Coturnix japonica: one gene and its partner. The protein of the gene in region 1 purifies or fractionates together with the protein of each later gene. This does not show direct contact. Links are inferred from orthologs where the notes say so. Each region holds a gene or a part of one and is shown on either strand. Other genes may lie near its edges. The genes, in order: GOLPH3 and FAM20B.

Region 1 (2,636 bases):
CCAGAAGCTGCCGCACTCTCTTTGTGGCTAAATCATACTGCTCATCCAAAAGAGGGGCAAAAGCGTTCTCCAGAACATCTGAAGCATGGGCTAAATAAACCAGTGCCAGCAAACGCTTGTCCATGCGGTGCGGGTCATTCACCCATTTGTCAAGAACTGCCTCCTGAACCTTCTTGATGAGGCGCTGTTTGATGTTGTTGTTGGTGAGAGGATGCGTAGTCATGTCAAAAAGAAGGAAGTTCTGTTTCTCTGTTGTCAGTACACCTTTTTCCACTAGATTTTTAGCTAACCGTTCACGGACATTTCGTAACTGGTAGTGCAACTTTAACGGGTTCCATGTTTCACCTAAAAAAACAAACAAAAAAGCTAGTCAGGCAAAAACTAAGCTGAACTACACAGTGATTTTTTTTCCCTGTGGTGCAGAGTGAGCTGTCAAATTCATATAGCTGACTACTACCGTAAGACAGTGTGGGCATGTCAGCATTTCTCTGATCCCTGACCTATCCAGACACATTAATAAGGACAGAAACCATGAGAACAAATTTGAAGAGTTTCAGGGTATGTTTAAAGTTGGGATTAAATGCTAGCTAAGTCATGCCTTGACCGAGAATACAATAAATAAGCACTCTTGTACTGATGGAGAACAGTCACAAAGAGTTTTAATAGTAATAACAAAAACATTTATTATATAGAATTTAAAAAGCACTTCCTCCATCCTTGTCCATTTAGAACAGAGTAGGTGAGTTGGAAGGAACCTTCCAAGTTTGTCTAGACCAGCTGCCTGACTTCTTCAGGGCTAACCAAAAGTTAAAACATATTTGTCTGCTTCCAGTATTTATCAATTCAGAGACTGGAAGAACTGTCACCACCATTCTTTCTGCCATAAAGTTAAGTTTATGTGTAACTACCCTACATAACTGTTTATTCTGTATCCTCGAGTTTATGCTCTTTCCCCCATTTCCGCTCCTCTCAAGGGCACTTCAGAGCACATGTATGCACTTAAGAGAAGGGAATTTTTAAAGCACAAAGTATGCCAACAGCTACATATGCAGCTGAAGTTGTTAAGCACTGAGAAATCCATCTTTGTTTAAAAGTTTACTTTGCCTAAAATTTTTAGGTATAGCTTACCTTGGTGTTTCAGCATTAAGATCTCCTCCTGATATTAAAAAGCCACTGCACTTTTACAGGTGAGGAAAGATAAACAGCATTGAACATTTCTCATGTAGAAACAGTTTTTCTGTAAACAATATAACAACTTCTACAGCAGTGTGTTTCTATTTTTCTGTTACTTTTCAGTAATAATAAATAAAAACACAGAAGAATTTAAGTCTTTCCCACTTAGTTCAAGGTGACAAGCTTTATGCAAGTAACAGCCAAGTCAAGTAAACAAATGGGGTGACACCAACTGCATCGTAAAAGTCCTGTAGGTCCCACTCTTTACTGCCATGGGATTTTACAGCTTGACCACGAATGAAACTATCACACACCATCACCCCCCAAATGGCAGTGTCCTTTCAGCTCTTCACAGAGCAAACAATTCTTCTTAGATGCTTCTAAATCTGGTATGTGGATGCGCCTGTGATAATAAAAACTAGTACTGTGGTGACACCTTGTGACCAATCTCTACCACTACACATTTATTCCAATACAGATGGATGGATGTTTTTAATACAGGGAGACTTGGCTTTTTGACCCAACATTCTGTATTCCCTGTACTTGCCTCTCTTTGAGGTTATCTTATAAGCAACACCGGCCTAGCAAATGTAGCTTCAAACATCCATATAAAGATTTCCACAATGGTTTTGAACTCATACACATTGGAACAGAAGCAGTATTCTTGCACTTCTGATAACGACAGCTGGAACAACTGTTTTCCCAGGATCAGGTCCCAGATTAAAGAGCTCTTTTAAAACATTCTTCAAACAGCAGTTCTCAACCATGAGAAATGCAAAATACCCTAGCACCATAGAAGAACCAGTAATTACTGGTGCAAGCAAAAAGGATTGATCTAAGTCTCAGCCACTGCACTAATGGTAATAATTTTTCTTAGAGCCAAAGTTTATCAGGCTCATGCCCCAAGGAAAACCTACAATATATTTCAGTTATTGCATAAACTTCTTTGAACCAGCACAAACTTGATGTTGTTAAGGCGAAATGTCTGTATTTATGAAAAGAACTGCCTTTACAAGCTGCAGAAGTGAAGGAGGGCTGGGCAAGAACAGACTAAATCGTGAGGATGTGCTGCAGCCCTGCCCCCTACTGACAAGAACTCTTTCATTCTCTCTACCTACTGACCAACACTCACAGAACTAGAAAGAAGGAATGGAAAGGACTAAGTATGAACTGTGCAGGAGAACATGAGAGAGCAAGTAAGGCTTATTGAGGTAGTACAGGAAAAACAGAAATACAAAGAAGCAGAGAACTGGACAAAAAAGCCAGTATATGCTATTAAATGTGGCTGTTGATCAGCTTAAATTATACAGCCCATGACTACAGCTGTTGGAGAGTTATATTAAGAGTTTTAACTGCAATTGTAAAAATGAAATCAAACTGATGTTTTTCCTTTTTTTTTTTTTTTTCCCAAAAAATGTTTAGCTTCATATGAAGATCTGCACACAAACCACACAGATCAACTA
Region 2 (3,827 bases), on another chromosome or scaffold:
TGCTCACTTAATATATGCTGTAGTTTAAACCTGACTCATTCAGATTGCATGGCTCTGTTGTTCCACATCTTACTGTGTTGTGCATTTCACTTTGAGGGCATCAGGAGAACGAAACATTCCAGATGTCTCACTCCCTTTTTTTCTGCTTCTGGTAATTACGAAAAAGTAACTGTAGGAGTTTTCTTCCTGATCTCACTGCTTATACTCTGCCCTCAGTTGGCCTCTTGAACATAATTCATATAGTGCCATTAGTCTCCATAATTTTTAATGGACATGTAATAGATAAAATACATGACCTTCAAAGTCCAAGGCTAATTAGATACTAAGAATGAGTAATAGATGTTGGAGAAAGATCTGTCCTGAGAATTCAATGAAAAATGGGAAGAACAGAGCATAGCTCAACATTGTTTCAGATATATTTAAGTACCAATCCAAAGTAAAATAGAAACGCTTGAAGGGGAGAGAGTAGGTAGTGTTCTAAGTACAAGGAATAATGCATTCTGAGGCATTTGCCTTGTGGGTTTGTGCTGTAAATTGAATACAAGTTTGACCTGGATGCAAAAGAAAAATGGAACTAGAGAAGTGCTAACAAAAGCACTGAGAAGGTAATTTTGTGATGCTTTCCTTTTGGATAACTGGAGGTAAGATGGGATATTGGAGCTTAGAGTCCAGGCCTTTAGAAGGTGAGGTTGGTGTGTGTGACAGCTCTAGTTGTTAAATTCTGATCTTCTCTCAGCTTTTATTAGTCTGCACATTTTTGAGCACGTCAGTCCTTCCAGCTTTTGTTTCCTCCATTTGTTTCCAGTTTGCAGATGGTTTAAGGCATTGCCAACTGCTATTTTGCAAAGGATCGTTTCATTCTTTACATGGAGGATGTTATAGATGTACTTGTTATTTAGGTTGACAGATGGAAAGGAAATATGCCAGAGTTCTGGCTGATTTGGTGGTGGTGGTGGTGCATAGCTCTGAAAACTGTGAAGAAGGAAAGGGGAAAATTTAGAAACCGAGCTTTGGGGAATGGAGATGTGATATTTATGTTCTAAGTCTACAGGTGTGTGCACATGCTATGTGCATAAGAAAAGGAGAGAACAGAGAAGCTTTGAATCTTGCCAATGGAGAAGGTGAGAGATTCCAAAAGAAAAGGTGCAGAGGAAAGAGGCAACTATGAGTGAAAGAACGAGCATACGTGGGGCCCTTCTCTTTAAGCCAGTGGAGATCATTAGTAACTATGAAGAAGTTATTGCATTAGACAGGAAAACAGTCAGGAGGTAGCTGGAAAGCAAAGCTGATGGGAGCAGATCGTAGCAGTAAAAATAGCCGTAGTACTTGAAATCTGGATGAAATGAGAGCAAACCAGTCACGATGGACATCCATCCATGCCATGAGGCAGCCTGAACACTGCTGGCTTGCAATCAGTGAGTAAGCAAACTGGCTTGTTCTGTGGGAAGACGATACGAAACCTTTCATTAGAACTGTGACTTGCTCTGTACAGTAAAGCGTTAACATAGGTTTTATTCTTCTGATGACATTTTTGTCTGACTCTTTCTTCTTTCAGAGCCTTGATTTGCTGCACTCAACTTTTCTTTAAGCACTGATGACTGAATACTGGGATGGCTGTAAATACTTGTGGTGTGCAAGGATGGATCTTTCTCTTGATTTAGTTTGATTTCTCTTGCTGGCCTACAGGTGGGAATATGATGAAAGCTATTGTGATGCTGTGAAGAAGACTTCACCCTACGACTCGGGCCCCCGTCTGCTGGATATCATTGACACAGCAATATTCGACTACTTGATTGGGAATGCTGACCGGCATCACTATGAGAGCTTTCAGGACGACGAAGGAGCCAGTATGCTCATCCTTCTGGATAATGCCAAAAGGTGAGAGTAGGGGAAATCCTGGTGGCCGGGCCTCAGCAGGTGTGAGGACTCGCATTTATCTGCTCTCTCTGTTTTCTGTCTTTCTCTTGCTTACTTTTCTGTTACTAATTGGTTTTTGTTTTGTTTTCCCTAAAAATCCAAAGCTTGCTTTCTTAATACTCACAAAATATTAGGTACTTTCAGAGGCTGTGGTACTTTGTGCTCTGCTTATGATTGTAATGGGTAAAGCCTTAGTCAAACTACAGGAACTCCCAAATTAATCCAGTAGAACTCATTTATTAGAAGCAGCATTTTAAAGGTTTGTTTGCTTCTCCTACCACAGACCCCCTCTCAGTTGTATTGTCTTAAGCAATGTTAGGTTATAGGGTTTGCTATGTGTGAGTGCTGTGGTATAAGCAGCTCCCTTTATAATGTTGCTCTGGGTGATCTGGCATTCCGTGCCTTCTGGATCTGTCTGCTATATCAACAGAAGTTTAAAATGACGATAGAACTGATACTGAAAGCAAAATATGGTAGAGGAGGAAAAACATACTTTCAGGTACATTATTAGGAATGCCACTTTTGCAGAACCACATGTTGGAAAATATTTAAGGGACTTAATAAATCATTTCTTTATATAAAACATGAACTGTTATCAGGACAAAAATGAAGTGTAGTAGTAACTGGGAGGAACTGATGAGAAGTCCTTCCTGAGGCCAACCTTTACTATTGTGTCTGCTCTTTCTCCATTTCACTTCCATATTATGGACTCCTTTCCTTCCCTCTTCCTTTGCTTCTGATGTGTCTGAAGGAGCTGAGCTGAGCATTTTGTCTTTATACGCTAGCCTTTTCAGTAACACTCCTTCAATTATGTCAGCAGGATGTGTTCTACCTTGAGATTGCTAAATTATTGCTGTGTTCAGATTGCTCGAGGTGAATTTGGCAAAAAAAAATGGCTTTCTGTAATGCATTGGAAGTGGGCCGGGAGGATGCTAATTTGTTAGTCCCTGGAAGTGAACGTAATAGTTGAGGATCACAACAGACCTTTCTTTATGGTGTGTGCTCATGGTGTTACAGAAACACTTCTGGTCGGGCTTTACAGGCCAAGAAGTAAATTGATTTTTTGAAAGCTTGGGTAAAATTCTTTCTGCTTCTTTGAGATTAGTGTAGGGAAACAGCTTCTTAAAGCCACTAACAAGAGAATTGTTGGAGCAGAGTAGTGCCGGACTCATAAGGTAAGTTATCTTTACTGAGGGGAAAGTTCTTTGTTGAAAGCAATGTTAAGGTTAAAATACAATTGAATTCTTTTGGCAGATCTCCCTTAGGGTGTGTGATCGTGAAGTATTAAGCTTGATCACCGTGTACACTGAACTGTTGATCTAAACTTGGCAGTCTAAACTAGCACGTGGCTGCTGTGTCACTCATTCCCTGTCCAGCTGTATCAGACAAGCAAAACTCATGCCCTGTGTCCAGAGTACTACTTACTGCTTTCCTCCACTTTACAAGATGAACTCCATTCCTCAGCTCCTCTAAGGTTTGTTTCCTGAGGTGCCTTGATCTGATAAAGAACTGGGTACACTCGTGTTTCTTCCATGTGTCTGGTGTGTTAGCTGACACTTGAGGGTTATATCTGTAATTGGTCATGACCTGTTTATATTCTCATTCAAATGACTTGAGCTATTGGAGCATGAAATTGCCTAGTATTGATTTTTGAGTTCTTTACAAATCTGTTGATGTTGAGAGCAACATTGTGTTCAACTCATTTGCTTTTGTTTTGCTTTTCAGCTTTGGCAACCCTGCCCTGGATGAAAGAAGCATCCTAGCTCCTCTGTATCAGTGCTGCATGTAAGTGAAGTGCAGAGATGCTGTTGACTTTATTTATGCAATTGCTGTCCTTAGATTTGCAATAAAATTATGTTTGAAGCTTTCTGGCAACCTGAAAATACTCAGGTACAGTGCTTTCCTCTTTT

What was found.
Region 2: the proteins of GOLPH3 (region 1) and FAM20B purify together in Homo sapiens (affinity purification with mass spectrometry; 3 studies listed by BioGRID and IntAct, with this or other methods). This does not show direct contact. The link is inferred for Coturnix japonica from reciprocal best matches to the Homo sapiens genes GOLPH3 and FAM20B.

Annotation. Positions count from the first base shown.
Region 1 is NC_029547.1:8,894,405-8,897,040, forward strand, and holds part of GOLPH3 (Golgi phosphoprotein 3), read right to left. Parts: intron 346-2,636; coding exon 1-345. UniProt on the Homo sapiens protein: Phosphatidylinositol-4-phosphate-binding protein that links Golgi membranes to the cytoskeleton and may participate in the tensile force required for vesicle budding from the Golgi.
Region 2 is NC_029523.1:5,510,429-5,514,255, forward strand, and holds part of FAM20B (glycosaminoglycan xylosylkinase), read left to right. Parts: intron 1-1,686; coding exon 1,687-1,878; intron 1,879-3,642; coding exon 3,643-3,702; intron 3,703-3,827. UniProt on the Homo sapiens protein: Responsible for the 2-O-phosphorylation of xylose in the glycosaminoglycan-protein linkage region of proteoglycans thereby regulating the amount of mature GAG chains.